Linked DNA regions of Kluyveromyces lactis. The protein of the gene in region 3 interacts with the protein of the main gene of each other region in a pairwise test. Links are inferred from orthologs where the notes say so. Each region holds a gene or a part of one and is shown on either strand. Other genes may lie near its edges.

Evidence for each region. The genes of interacting proteins can lie anywhere in the genome.
Region 1: the proteins of FTR1 (region 3) and KLLA0_C18161g interact in a protein complementation assay, tested with the Saccharomyces cerevisiae proteins (2 studies listed by BioGRID). The link is inferred for Kluyveromyces lactis from reciprocal best matches to the Saccharomyces cerevisiae genes FTR1 and YLR326W.
Region 2: the proteins of FTR1 (region 3) and FET3 interact in binary tests that used the Saccharomyces cerevisiae proteins (3 or more experiments, as listed by UniProt). The link is inferred for Kluyveromyces lactis from reciprocal best matches to the Saccharomyces cerevisiae genes FTR1 and FET3.

Annotation. Positions count from the first base shown.
Region 1 is NC_006039.1:1,605,828-1,610,615, forward strand, and holds KLLA0_C18161g (uncharacterized protein), read right to left. Parts: upstream 2,142-4,788; coding exon 1,440-2,141; downstream 1-1,439. Other genes in the region: KLLA0_C18117g (uncharacterized protein), read left to right, coding at 1-185; ECT1 (ethanolamine-phosphate cytidylyltransferase), read right to left, coding at 366-1,292; mRNA splicing protein PRP18, read right to left, coding at 2,183-2,641; transcription factor IIF subunit TFG2, read left to right, coding at 2,895-4,061; RPL38 (60S ribosomal protein eL38), read left to right, coding at 4,715-4,788.
Region 2 is NC_006042.1:2,442,191-2,447,976, forward strand, and holds FET3 (ferroxidase FET3), read right to left. Parts: upstream 3,336-5,786; coding exon 1,440-3,335; downstream 1-1,439. Other genes in the region: AAN1 (Aan1p), read right to left, coding at 1-870; BUB2 (Bub2p), read left to right, coding at 5,652-5,786. UniProt on the Saccharomyces cerevisiae protein: Iron transport multicopper ferroxidase required for Fe(2+) ion high affinity uptake. Required to oxidize Fe(2+) to Fe(3+), which is then transported into the cell via the ferric iron permease FTR1. Essential component of copper-dependent iron transport.
Region 3 is NC_006037.1:264,868-270,096, reverse strand, and holds FTR1 (high-affinity iron permease FTR1), read right to left. Parts: upstream 3,181-5,229; coding exon 2,020-3,180; downstream 1-2,019. Other genes in the region: CUP2 (Cup2p), read right to left, coding at 1-544; FAR7 (Far7p), read right to left, coding at 4,704-5,229. UniProt on the Saccharomyces cerevisiae protein: Permease for high affinity iron uptake.

The DNA.
Region 1 (4,788 bases), on a different chromosome or scaffold from region 3:
CTGAATCCCACTATTTCACTCATAATGGGCACTACGGTGTTTCCCCAAACTCTGTGAAGAAAGACGGTTATGGTAAAGGTAATTGGGGTAAAGCAGGGGACGAGATAGAAGATTTGATCGATATGGGTGAGATTAAACCTGCTTTCAACAAACAACGCAGAGGTTCTAACTCTCAGAAACGGTAGAGAGTTATGTTATGATCACTCTCGTCTCCATTTACTCGGTGGTGCCGTGTAATTGATAGACTTTTTTCATGTTTTTAGATGATTTGAGAAGCTGGTTTTGGGTTGTTACGACTGATGAGACAAGGCGACTCTGGAAGTTGCCTGCTGCTGCCTTTTGTTCATTCGTTCTTCCTATATATGCTAGTTCTCATACGTAATGCCCTTTTTTATATTTCTTTCAATATAATGATCCCTATCGTGATTAATTCTTTGTATGATGTTGTCTTTGAGAGATGTGGTGATAGTTTTGGCAGTCGTTGTGTCACGTGACACAGGATAAAGAAGCACACCGTCCACCACGTTGCAGCTAAGCACGCTTAAAGTCCTCTCCTCCAATGTCATGAACACGTCTTTGTCGGTATACATGCTGCAGCACACTCTTTTGCCTGCTTCTTTCCATTTCTGTAACTCTTGGATATGTCCCACATTGAACAGATCAAACCCATCTGGTTCCTCTACTACAACCCAATTCTGATCAGAGACACTGCCAGTTCCTTCTACTATCACATCCTCGAAATTTTGGCCAAATACCCAACTCCAGGGCTCGTATCCTGACTTATCTGTACTGTACATGGTCAGCAACTCACGATCGACACTTGCTTTTTGCTGGTTTGTCTGGGGGACATTCCTCAGTATTCTATCAATGATCTCGGTGGTACTTACACCCTCGGTACGTTTCACCACTTTGAAACGGCCGTTGTCCTTCATCTGCTGGTAACAATCTTCACCGTTTGCATCCGTGGTTATATCGTCCCCATGAACAACGTATTTACAACCGTACGAATCAAGAACCTCGGGTTCTGTCACGTAAGGTGCGTCTTTCACCACTTGGTCGCACCATTTGTTGCTCTCTGTATGGTAATACCGTTCTTGTTCGTGAATGACAGGCTTACCACCCTTGTGATGTTCGATATCTGCGTCGTTGTGAACTCCGCAGATGAGAAGTGATCCATCACGTTGATCTTTTGGAATCGTTCTTCTTGCCTGAAGAATGGCTCCAGAATGACCGTGGTGTGTGAAATCAAAACACCCATCGATCCATACCCTATTTTCATACAATTCAACCATGGCTTGAGGTTTAGCGGGGAGCAATGGCTTTAACTCTTTACCTTATATGAGGTTTGCCTGTAGTTGTCTTCAATTTCATATGCGTTATCATTTTCTTTTATATAGAAATACACACTGTTAAACGGATTGTCCCAAGCACAAAGGTTTTTATACCTGATGGTGGACTGCTTGGGCTGGGACTTGTGGGTTCGCAGCCATTGGCATCGGTTGGAACCCAACCGGTGCACTTTGTGTTGGGTTCTGCTGTAGATACCTCTGCCACGAATCCTTACATACGTAATTGTACACCATTGCGACATTTCTAGTAGAACATGCGTTCATCCAGGTCAAAAACGTGCCAATTATCGGGGGTAACGTTATTAATAGATCAAACACTATGTTTGCATGCATCTTCACCAACAGATCGTTGGGCAAATTGTACCGTTTCCTTGCGTATTCCACCGTAGAGCTGTGTACCCAGTACATTAAGATCGGTCCGATCACAGGAAGCAACGAAAGTACCGTGGCCCAACCGATGCCCCAATCAATCCAGATACATCCACACCCGAGGAAGCATCGGTCGTCGTACCATGCTCGGTTCTGTAACCGTTTCCATGTCTTGGTTTCCTGTTTCGTGCAATATGCAGGCAACTTCCTTCGAACCCTTTTCCCATTACTTAGTTCCGAATAGAATGGATCCTTCACCGGTTGAAACTTTGATCCCATGAAATCATCATACTTTTCCATACCATAGTCCTGAGCACTAGACTCAGCCATACTAGTGACTACACCACCCATCTTCTCGTCGCTTGATTGCCCTTTACCGCTTCCTTTTTTTGTTTCTGTTCCAGTTCCGAGGTTATGTAACATGTAGCCATCAGAGTGGTTTGAAATTAATTCTATATTTAAAATCATGCGGTTCTTCGCTGTGAAGATGTCCATTGCTTGAAATTGACAAGCCGTTTGATGTTGACGCACCAGTCATCAAGAACCATGTTCTCTTGTGTTTGTGCCTTGCTGCCTTGCAACTGCTGTTTCCTCTCGTGTATACCAACGTTGGTTAACCCGATCGGAAACTTCCCTTTACCTATACTTAAAGTAAGGTATTCTTGCTTTGCTCGCACGTAATCTTCATCTACAATGGCATCTAATACTCTTGCCAGTTGGGATAATTGCAATTGACCGAGCTCCTGTTTCCTTAATGCCACTAGAAGTGGGAACAATGCCACCTTAACCCGTTTCAAAGGCACGACAGTATATTCAGATTCTTGGGTTTCCCATTCTTTAAGTATCTCGTGTATATACTCATTGCAGCTCTCGTTCAACGGTTTCTGTTGACTGTTGTACCTTTCCTCGACTGCATGACTCATGACGCCTGCTTTGATGAACGTAAATACACCGTAGGCAGAGGTGCCAATCCACTTGGTTAGTTTCTGTTTATTTTATCGTTGATGGCTAGCTGTTTTTGTCAGTTTTAAAGATTTATCGAATTGATAATTGAAACAACTTTAACAACTTAAAGCCACAACAGGAAGGCGGAAGGAAGACAAAAGCAAGCAGAGAATCCGGATAGAGGTACCTGTTAGGTCTCATATATCCAAGCCAATAGTTAAAAATCTAATCATGTCTGAATCCAGTGGTAAAGATTTGGTGGAAGAAGTCGGTGAAGAGGCGTTCGATGGTAACGATATTGAGAACAATGAGAAAAAGGTTTATGAGGAATCGTTAGACTTGGATCTATCCAACGCCAGGAAGAAGATTTGGCTTGTACGTCTGCCTAAGTTCTTAGCTGAAAATTGGAGAAACCGTACTGCATTGCATGGACAAGAATTGGGTAAAGTTAGGATTAATAATGCGGACCATTCGATCCAGTTGTTGTTGAATGAGGATGAGGACAACAAGGACATACCGCACAAATATGACTTAGAGTTGACCAAGAAAGAAGTCACGAACGAGTACGTATTCACTGAACAAAATTTGAAGAAATATCAGCAGTTTGCCAAGGAATTGGAGTCGAACCCCGAGTTGCAAAGACAGGCATACATAAGGAAACAAGAAAGAGAGGAAGAGATGAAGAAAAAACAGCAGCAGATGAAGCGTAAGTACAACAAGAGAAGGTTTCAGCACCGTGTCATGACGGATAGGGACGGTAGAGATAGATACATCCCGTACGTGAAGACTATTCCGAAGAAAACTGCAGTGACGGGGAAAGTGTACCACGAATGTCAAGTGATGCCCTCGATAGACGATCCAAATTACCATACAATTGTGGAACATAGAAGACAAATCGTTAGAAACATCCACAAACCAACGGTTACGGTGCTTGACCAAACTCCTGGTGTCACTATGAGTAACGCCGGTATGTCGATGAGATCCGACACTTCCAAGTTCTTAAAAGTTGGAAAGGAAAAGAAGAACAACGCAAGGGCTATCCGTTTGCCAAAGAAGGAACTTTTGGATCTATTGTTCAAGTTGTTTGATGAATACGATTATTGGTCCTTGAAAGGTTTGAAGGAGAGAACAAGACAACCAGAAGCATATTTAAAGGAATCGCTAGATCAAGTTGCTATGCTTGTGAAAAAGGGTCCGTATGCCTTGAAATATACTTTAAAATCGGAATATAAAAAGTTGAAGGAAGCTGAAAGAGCTGCTACGCTTGGTGAATTGGCACAACACGCTGATCCAGAACAACAGCAGCAGATTCAAGACCAATTTGATCAACAACAACAACAGGAGAACGAGCAAGAGGAGGAAGACTTGGAAGACGTGGAAATGGAGGATGTGTTGTAGAACCCTTCAAACATAGTATATATATATATATATATATATATATATACACATAATCATGCCCCACCGGTTATCTAGTAAATGAATGGATATCTTATTCATGATGCTGGCATGTCTAGTCCTGTGATGTATTCTTGTGACCTGAACCAATAGTAGGATTAAAGAATTCAAATCACGTGATTAACAAAGGACTGTCCATTGTTAAAATAACACCCATACACTCCAAACACTGAAAAATAAAAACCCACACATCCGGATACAAAACGAGAAAATTCTCAATTGGGTAGTATAATACTCAAAGAAACCCAAAAAATCTCTAAAAGCCAACCTCCTGACACCCACACACCATCAACTAAACTTTTCACCAATCTCATCGACTGTGCTCATTGAGTATTGTGCAATTGGCAAGCCAGTAAACGTTTAGTTTCGAACAACTTTCGACAGTTTTAACGTTTTAGATTTTAACATTTGTCGTTAATAGTGGTGTTTTGTATATGTCCATTTAGTGTTTTTTTGATGTTTAGCGTTTTTTACATTGTATTATCGGTTCTTGTTTAGTATTCTTTATAACTTTTAATTACAGTTTATTAACTCTTTTGTCTTAATAGTTTCTGTGAATCTCCAAGCATCAACAACTAGGAAGTACATTAACAAAAATGGCTAAGGAAATCGCTGATATTAAGGAATTCTTGGAATTGATCAGAAGACAAGATGTCAACTCTGCTACCGT
Region 2 (5,786 bases), on a different chromosome or scaffold from region 3:
CTCAATATACTCTTCCGCACAGCATACAAACTGATCCAATTGGTAATCCTGTTCCTCTACACTCAAAGTAGAGTACATCTCCGATAATAAAGTCAATTCTTTGCTTATGGTTTTTGGAATATCTTGTCTTGCCTTCCAAAGAAGCTTCTGAGCATTAGCTAATTTGACTTCCACATTATCATTATCTGAGCTCGATTTACTATCGAGCATAAAGCCGGAATTCTCACTCTTTTCTATCAAGTCGTTGTATTCATTGTACAAAGAAATAATTTTCATCATAGGTTTGTACAACTGTTGACATACTTTTCTCTCTGATTTCGGTATGATAACCCTTTCCAGATAATGATTAATCAAGCCTTCCATGAAATTAGCCCATATAGAACTGTAGACGTAGTTTTCGTCATAAAGTGTCTCATCAAAATTCTTCTTGATATTCTCTCTCATCACATTTTCTAACAAAGTACAGAACAATTTTGGTTCTTTCTTGATATTTTTTGGCTCCACTTCTTCCTCATAATCCGAGCTATTCGGCTTACCATGTTTGTCCAACCAATAGTCTGGGCCGCCTCGTTGTGAGAGTGTTACTAGCAATAGAAATAGTTTTAATTTATCCATTGGCCTGATCAATTTTAGTACTACATTATCAGAAATCTTCGAAACATCATGATTGATCTTTCTGTGAATGCATGATATGAATGAGTGTATGATACGTGCTGTCCTCTGGCCATAATTGGTGCTTAAATACTCCATGGATGTTACAGTTTTATAATTTGTGTCTTGGAACCTCAAATCTCTAGTAAATTGAAACTTGTATCGCACTTGTTTGCGCGGCTTGCGAGTTGCGTGTGGCACACGAGCTTCTGCGGACATTATCACTATATCCTGTACGTTGTCGAGTTTCTGTAACTTGCTAAGGGTAAGGCCAGCCACTTGTCACCTTTACAAATTCCTTCAGTGAATGTTGATGTCTTCCAAGTTTTCAACACACTTTTGCAGTATCAAAAAGTGAAATTTCAATAGTTTTGTAAAGGAAAAAACAAGATAAACCAATAATGACAAACCCACCGTTAGCATGTATGACAATACTGAAATTTTATACTGAAATATCCAAAAAGAGTTTATTGGATAGAAGATAAATCGTTTCAGGTTAATCAATGAACTACAGTTTTGTCTTAACAGTAATGTGAAATTTCATACACGGCAAGTTATTGTCAACGTGAGTGCACACTAAAACGGCTAAAAAGACGTAAAATAAAAAATACATTACAAAATAATCTACTAAAGATATAGGCTGAACTGCAGTTCAATGGCAAAGTTCTGAATTAATGATAGATCTATGGAATTTCCTTGTTTATTATATTTATAGGAAAAGTATAGGCACTGATCGAATGAATTGGGGGTTTGGAAGGATAATATTAGTTCATTAAACGACATGAGGTTTACTCAATGTTTTTAGATGTTCTGGAAGAATCTTCATCCGAGTTGATATCAGAAACGTCGACCTTTTCGACGGCATCTGGATCCATACCTAAGTCTCTGATTATTTCTTCTTCTGACTTCTTAACACCCATCAAACCGTAGGTTGATAGGGAAATTAAACCAAGAACACCTGCTAGACAGGAAAAGGTCATAGCAACAATACCCTTAGCAGTGAAACCATCTGGAATGTTAGCCACTTGAACGTTTTGACCGACTAGATCCAAGAAATCGTTAGTGTTTCCTGCAGCGTTACCTTCCCAAGAAAGACCGACATTTTCGCAGACTTGCTTGTGGTTATCAGTCAATTGTTGGGATTCAGTGTTTTGCATTTCTTCTGGTGCTTCAATCAACAACAATGCAAGACCTTGCTTCAAATGCCATTCAATGTGACAATGGAAGAACCAAACACCTGGATTGTCGGCTTTGAAACGCAAGACTATACTGGATTGTGGATTCACGTAAACGGTATCTCTCATCATTGGGTAATCTGGGAAAGGATTGTGGTCTTCTGGATCGAATGGATGAGGTCCTTCACCAATTGCATCATCGTAACCACGTTCTCTGTCAACCAATTGGAAAATGTGACCGTGTAAATGGAAAGGATGCTTACCAGTATCGTTGTTATTCAAGACAATTTCAATAATTTCATCCTTTTTCAAGACGAAAGCATTTGTGTTGGTACCATAAACCAATGGATTTAGTGCATCTTTACCAGCCGACAAAGCAGTCATCAATGTTGGGACCTTTGGAGCAGTGAAAGTCAAATTATTGAAGAAAGCGTAATTGACACCATTTTTCAAGTTATCCATGACCACATCAACGGTAATAGTATAATCAGGGTCTTCATACAATTCGACTTTATCCAATGGGGTCAAATAGAAATCATCCAAGAAATCATCTATGCTGTCTACATAGCTTTGTTCAGGCTTTTCTCCATCCTTGTCGTACATCATGTAAGAAGTAGCGTTCAACATCAAATCGTTAGGAATAACGTCTAACATGGTATCATCAAACTTCTGCATGATAGCATAGTTTTTAGAAGTGTCATTCTTAGTGTGAATCAAAACGGAGTAACGTTGTGCCACAGTGATGTAAAGCATAGAAGTTGTGTTTTTTTCAACGTAAACACCATCAACTTCAACGACAGTCATATCATGGTCCTCAATCCAAAAGTATTGTGAGACGAATCCACCAGTATTGACAATTCTCAAGAGATATGTAGTATCTGGTTCGACATTCCAGGTCATGTTTCTAGTGTTGTTAATGATCAAATTCTGAGGAATTGGTTCGGCACCAGTTGGGTTGTAAACGTTCATGAATTTGCGGTCAAGGGTATCGACATTGTCATAATACCATTCGGCAAGTTGCACAACGACTTCTTCGTCATAATCAAATGGCAAAGAATCCTCAGGCTCAACAACAAGAGTACCCTTCATACCGTCCTGGTATTGACCACCAGTGTGGGAATGGTACCAGTAAGTACCGTCGTTATCATCGATGGTGAAATTGTACAACATGGTGTCACCAGGAGCAATAGGACACTGGGTAATCATTTCTGGCCCATCCATCATGTTAGTTCCGTTCTGGGACAAACCATGGAAATGTAGGGATGTGTTTCTATCATCGAATCCATTTGTCAAATACACTTGAATACGGTCACCTCTCTTGACCTTTAGGTCAGGCCATGGAAATTCACCATTACAAGTGATAACTGGTCTCTCGAAATTACCATCGACGTTATAGTTACCCCAACCAGTGGTCCAGTTGAAGGTATGAGTGGCAGCTTGAGCAACAGTAGCCCAACTCCACAAAGCCACTAGCAACGATGGCAGGAAGTGATGAGTCGATACCTTCATGTCTTTATACTTCCTTTTTTCTTCTTTTTGTTCTTAAAGAAAACCAATGAGACTTAAAGATATGCGATGAGATGGTTAACGCAGATATTGCAAATAAGAAAGAACCCTGAAGACAGATAACAAAAATCTCAACTGAGCAATATACACCTCGTGCAGAGGCCTAATGACAACATTGAGAACATTTTACTGAAATTACCATTGTATATATACATTAATATACACATTCTCACACGATAGAACCAACCAGTGATAAAAGAAAGAAAAAAATCCATCTCAAACCTCTGTACAAAAGCCCACTACCGACCGCGCCGAACCTACTGCAATATGAAGAAACGAGATATCACCCTCATGCACACTACAATACCCTCTGCCTCTACTTCTTTGTGTTTTTCCTCCCTCCCGAACTAAACCAGTCTCTCTAAACTGTCAAATGGTTATGCCTGGTATTGAAAAGCACACCTGCAAATAGATAGTAATATGGAATTAAAAAAAAAAAATCTTGAGGAAACTAGAACCAAAATACCTAGGTAGTGCCACAATACTAAGTCAAAAATTAAACAATTCGGGGTGTACAATTCAAGATAATAACCTAATTAGCGGAAGTAAAAACTGCGTAAAGAAAGAGCAAGGTAATAATACACTTACTACGAGGACTTAAAGGGGAAAAACAACTGATAAACATGGAAAGAGTTAGTCGACCAAACAGAACGTCCGCTTTCCTGCTTTCCTTTCTGAGCCAAGAAACTGCCATTCCTATTTTTTTTTCTTATGTACTTGTTTCACTACGCTTTTATGAGAATTAAACAAAGATGAAGAAGGAAAAAAAAAAAAAAAAGGTCAACTGTAGCTTGCCTAGTGGTAGCTGTGAGTGTTGAAATTGGAATTGGAATTATGATTGTATTGAAATGGGAAAAAATTGAGATGGTGGGAGAGTAAACATCAGGGCCCAACTGTTTGAATGGGAAAAAGAAAAAAAAGAAAAAAACGGAAGTGCTCTACTTCTTGATAATAAGTTTCCAGGGTTTTTTGTAATGGTAGTTGCTACACCCACCCCCGCCGGGGTTTTCGAGCGATAAAGTTTCAGCCAATTCTTTCCTGCCAGTTTACATTCTTTTTCTTCATTTTATTTTTTCCTTCCTTCTATAATTTCTTATTCAGTTCAATGGAATCGGAAAAAAATATACAGGCTCGAATGAGAAAGGTTTTTGGGCCCAGGCCCAAAAATCAAGGCCCCGAATAGTCTCCATACATTGCCAAGAAAGTTTTTCAGTTTTTAGCTTTTCTAAATAACTACAAGATAAGGCGCAGTATATTGAGAATTGGATTTTTTTCATCAATGCTAATAGCGGATCACTTCTCCACCGTTCTTGTTCCGTAGGTGGAGGAGAGCCTTTAGGGTGAGAAGCGGATGAGGAAAGGGTATCCGTAACGGCCCCATGTCACTGAACGTGCCAGAAGCCCTTTGTGAGCGAGCACCAAGATTTGTCAGTTTTGAATCTTGGCAAACGAGTAAATCATGCTCGATTCCGGGCCTTTTGCGTTGTCATTCTTCTTGAGTAGGTAATCGGTACACATAGAAGTGTGCTATATCTAATCTATCAACGATGCCAAGTTTATCTATGGCTGCACTTGGGCCGAACGCCCAGTACTGAACGTAGGATACTTGCCAATTTTCGCTTTTTCAATTTATTTTTTTATTTCATTACGAATGAGAAATACATTATTGCACCCAGGGAAATTTCATGGAATGGTCAGTTTTCTACTGTAGGTCGAAACTGCAACTCTCAAACTTGCTGTAATTACTCTATTTTCTATACTCTATATCGTAATGATGTTCCTATTTACCAGCGTTCTTTTTCTTTTTTGATAATTTTCATACAAACACTTTTTTTCCACCATTTTTGAATTGATATCGAGTTATGTACAATTTGAACGAGTCAGTCTAGGTGTTTAATCCAGAACCGTGAAAAAAACAGGGTGCCATTTTATGATTATGTGTATATATGCATGCGTATGTGAATCTTTTTGTCTCTAACACCGATAATATAGTCTTGGCTAGTTTTCTGTTCAGACGGTATTCTGAAAGCTACATCTGCTTCGACCTTCTTAACAAAATCCCGATCCACGTGATCGAATTATTTGTCACACCGGGTAATTAACATATCTTGGTTAGCCTTTGTTTACCATTTATGCGAAATATGGATCTGATCCAATGCATAATATCATCCATATGTCTAAAAGGTGCATATATTTTAGAATAAGTGGTAATAACGCCAGTTACTGGCCAGTACTCTAGCAATTGTCGACGATATCGAAATGTCGATTGAAAAATTCATCTCTCAGCCACCGCTCATAGTTCATTCTTCGCTTTCTCAACTGCGATACCTCGTGTTATCAGAAGGGTTGTCCGATGAAGATCATCAACGTACAAGATCTCACGTTTGGTCCATC
Region 3 (5,229 bases):
TATCCGGTCCGTTACCAGGTGGAGACCGATTAGAACTTGACAGCGACGCATTATCCCAGCCAGTGGAAAAGCTTGTATTCATAGAGATCGGAGACGCCAGGAAGTTCGATAAATCCTGATCGACAGAATGTGACGAATCCAGAGAATGTAGAGATTGGTGTGAATATCCGCTATTAGTATGTTTTGATATTTTACCATTGATATCCAGTCCTACAGCGGAATTGCCTTGATGTGATTGTTTTTTCCTTCTTGGCGCACGCTTCTTATGACACGGGCAGTGATCCGGATCATTCTTACAAACACATCCCGATTCTTCTCTTGCCTTCTGTGCGATCCGTTTCTTCTCTTGTCGCCCACAAGTGCATTGGCCCGATGGATTCGCATTCCTGTTCTTCCGTAGTTCTTTACAATGAGCACAAGTCGTTGACGGCCTACCTTTCGGTTTAATCATAGTCAACGGCTGATCTGTATGGTTACATGTAGTCACTCTGTGTCCTCTAATACACCTTTCACAGGCATATTTCACACCGTTGATAAGAACCATTGTGTGCTATTTGAATGCGATACAGAATGTGTCTGTGCTGTCTTCAGTGAATAATAACCACAAAAAAAGCTTCAAAAGTCAGCAGTAAGAAGCCAGCAAAGGGACAATGAAAATGACAATTAGGGAGTGTGAATATTAAGACAAATGAATTAGATTAGGTCACTCCAATATGTGTGTTTTCTTTTTCTTTCCTTAAAGTTGATTAAGCCGTTGTCTGACTAAAAATCCTACCAGAAAGAGAAGAGAAAGAAAAAAAGGAAGATATTCAGCCTTATAATTGGGGGTTGGATACTGAGAACGTGAACAGAATAAGCCAGAGACAGCAGTTTCTCTATCAATCTCCTCAAATACTAGTCAAAAACACTGATATATAGTATCTTTTTTTTATCTCTCAAAATTTGACCTTTAAAAGTTCTGTTGAAATTTTTAAACCTAGTAAGTAATGTCTCTGTAAAATTTCAGTACACATCAAATCAAATACAAGTACAGTGAGTAAAGTTGGGAAGGAGAAGTATTCGTAGCAGATTCTTTCAGAAAATAGCGTCAAATGGTACAACACAAGTAATATGGATACCGAGTTATTCCTGTATACCAGCCGTTAATTCTTAAACCTTATGAGTAACGAAGGCAATTGAGGAATACTTACAGTACTTCTCTTTTCAATTTTTTTTTTCCTATAATTTTTTCCAAAAGAAAAAAAGGTATTAAGACAACAAAGAAGAAGTTCGGTATGTAGTAGCTTGATTATCTTAGGTCTAATTAGGAAAGTGGAAAAAAGCAGTTTTGAAACGCTGAAAGCTATCTATGTTTAATGGTATAGCGGGATGTAGAGCTCAATCAGGGTAGGAAATAAGTCTTTCAGCTCCGATTATTGCAGATCTATATATATATATATATATATATATATATATATGTATTCTGTTTGATAAGAATGTTTGATATGTCCGTATATGTATGTGAACAGCTGTTTGCGGGTAATGATTTTAAAGCCTTCAAGACTCTTCCATTCGTACAGGAATTTCAAGTGTTGTGCAGTGTCTTCTCCGCCAATGTGCACCGGAAATTAGAAAAAGAAATTTCATTTCGACATGCTTCGAGAGGCACCTCGTCAAGCTGCGTTCTTCTGTCTTATTCGGATGGTAAGGGTAGGACGACACATACATCATTATACTCTGTACTAACAGCGTTGGGCAAGGTGCGGAGACGTACACACGCCATTGTAAGAGGAATTGTTACACGATTCAGGAGAGAGGGGAGGTGGTCTAAGCCGGTTTTCGTTCAGTAGTCATCAGGGTTCCCAACTGATAAATATTTGTTGCTTCCATTTCCCAGATGAATATAGAGTTTTACCCAACTGGCAACTATGCAGTTAACTTGCTAATCGATAAACCAAAAGATACTTTACATTATATTTGATTGTTTACAGGTGTACATACTTCTGATAAAAGAACTAGTGAAAATTAGTAGTGACCCACTTATTTCACGAGTTCGACGTTGACTTTGGTAGTGTCACCTTTGTTAACGACGACGTTACCTTCTTCGTCGACGCCCAAATTGTTGACTTGTTTGAACAATTCCTCTTGTTCAGCAGCGGTCAACTCTTCGTTCTGCTTACGTTTTAAATAGTAGCTTGGCTTCAATTGTCTCAGTTTTAGATTCTTACAGAATGGTAAATGGCCATTTCTTTCTTCGTACATCATTAGTCCGATAACAATCATTAAGACCAACCAGTACAAGTTGTAAGCAAGGATGGATGACAAATAACCAGTGTTTTGCCAGCCCAACAACGAGTTGAAGATATCCCAACCGTTGTCCAATTCCGGGTTACAACAGTTAACGTGGTACACGGTTCTTAAGATGTTATAGGACCCGTTACCATCACCGGATTCGGATGCGTCACCACCGGTCTTCTTGTTGAAGTAATAGTTATCGAAGTACCACACACCTCTGGAGAACAACCCGGAAGCAATCAAGTAAAGAACACAAGTAGAAATGACCAAGAAGATTTGTAGAGATGACTTAGAAGTACCGTAGTACAACAAAGTACCTACGATGATACCAGCAATTAACCCAATGACGACAGGCAATGGGTACGCAGTGGCCTTGGAATCCTTGGTGGTAATACCGGCACCAGCAACGAACACGACGGCTTCCAAACCTTCTCTCAAAACAGTGATAAATGGCAACAAAAACATAGAATATCTGGTAGCCCAGTATTTAAGACTCCATTTCTTACGTCTGTCCTTTGGAACTTCAAGCATGGCCTTGGCAATCTTAACTCTCCATTTGGCTTGCATCTTGTTGACTCTTAACATAGCAATACCCATGACAGAAATCATTAAGGTAGCGATGATACAGAAGACACCTTCCCATAAATCTTCAGCAGAACCGAAAATATCATTTTCGTAACGGTAGTAAGCACCAATGAAACCACCACCAATGGCCATACAAATGATGAAACCAGCAACAACACCGATCCAGACATGCATTCTCAACCTTTTATAAGTGGCCATATCATTAGAACCGATGGATTGTTTCAAGAAAGAAAGCAACACGGAAACAATCACCGCTGCTTCTAAACATTCTCTGAACACAACGAAGAACACAGCAACGTTGAAAACCTTGTTAGCAGCCATGACTGATTGGTTGTAGTTTGTTCAGAATTTACGGATGTTATAGTTGTATTCTGATAAAATCAAATTACAACACATATCAAAAAGCATCAAAAATATGTTCATAACATAACCTTCCACATCGCATGCGATGGAATATTAACACCTGAGGAGACAAACAAAAACATCAACATGGGGTCCAGTTTCGCATACTTATATATTCTGAACCATTCAATATCGAATGAAGGTGACAGAAACCTTCCCTGAAAAATATGATTTATGCACCCAAAACTTTATCATCTTCCAATATTACACCTTGGTACATGCACCCTTCCCCTGCTCTTGAGGTCTTGGCTTTTTCGGTGTTTTTTTTTTGTCAATTCCAATTCCACATACAAAACTGTAAATGTCGAGGATAGAACCGCAAGCAGCATTGCAATTGGTGGTTTTTAGCATTTTCAGCTAGCAAAATTCCTACACCGCTACAAATCGAGATGTTACTCAAATAACAGGCTATCAAAGTACAGGGCTATGTGTGGACTAGATAATACGTTTTAGGTTCAATATTTTAGACTTTGCCCAAATAATACCCATACGGCCAGTAAACTGACAGTACCAAGAAATCCGTAGTGGGAAAAACTATGAAGGGAAAAAATTGGGTAAAGAATGGAATAGATGTCTAGGCAAAAAAACACAAAAAATGGTATAAGTTTCCACTTAGAAAGGATAGTTGAAATTGGAAAGGTATAACGGATTGGATTAATTTGGCTTCAACAGTGTTTCCATTACTGAAGCGGAAGACGAAAAAAAAAGCAATGGTATGGTACTGATTATTAAAGGGAATGGAGAGAGGAAGAGATATACCCATCCTGCGTCAAATACAGTCTTGGTTATGAAATCAGGTGTAAGAGTTCTAGTTGAGGAAAAGTATGGCAGGAAAATTAAATCCTATCTGAAAGCGTAGTATAGGGTGTATATGTTACAATCTAAATTGATGTGATTTTCATTTCCTTTCTTTCCCATTTCTCCTGAGAATAAGCGCATAAGGCTTCTTCACTGCATGGATTTCTGTATATGATGTTACTTCCGAAGTACTGACTTGACCTCTTGGCATTTTCCGTTGGCCAATAACCAATTTTTGCCATGAAAAAAACTTTGGAAAAAAGTATGAGTGTGATAGAATAAATTACAATCTAGCTTTGAGGTACGTTATTACTACAGATAGATAGATGGTACCGCTTCATATCATCTGCATACCCAGTAAAAAAGTAACGAGAATAGCTAGGGCTCATACAATCTCATTCAATATTCCGAAACCCACAAATTTCTTTTGATTAGGCTCGTTCTAGCTCTTTCCCGATTGACATTTTCCCACTTGCCCCATAACACTCTGTGTATATCTTGTTAATGGTGTCATTATAGTTCCTCATTAACTTTCCTCATATCCCATCCCCTACCCTTTGCCTAGTTTCATATTCTTTTCTTGTCCTGCCTTAGCATTTCTTAGTTTTTTTTTTTTTTTCTTTCTTTCTACTGCTTTACTTGATTTACGGGTGCGCTCTTAGAAGTGTTCTGTAAAGTTTACAAAGGTCTAGAAGCTGCTGTAAGTCCGTCACAGACTCTAGGTATTGATTGAATTGGGAATCTTCCGCTTTGTATAGCTGATTTTCTATAAGATCTCGGGACCGTGATAGTACGGTCACGTGGTAACTGTAGATTTCATTTCGTAACATTGTCACGCATATTTCCAATCCTTCGTCGTGGTGTCGTAGAGCTTGAAGTGCTACAGCATTGCGCCTTTGTTGGTTCTTTAAGATTTCTTTCAACTGTTCGTTTTGTTTGGTCACGTGATGTAACATGTTGTCCTCTTCATTCCCATCTTCTTCTTCTTCATCCTGAATTGAGAGTTCCTCGTCTTTCAACCTTTTGTATATAAATTGCTTTGTGACATTGATGTCCGGTGATACGTCCACATTGCCATGGTTCAACTGCCTGGATAGAAGGTCCACATCCTGCAAAACAGCATCTCTCATATTTTCGTTCGTTTTCAATTGGGCGGAAAGTTCATGCACT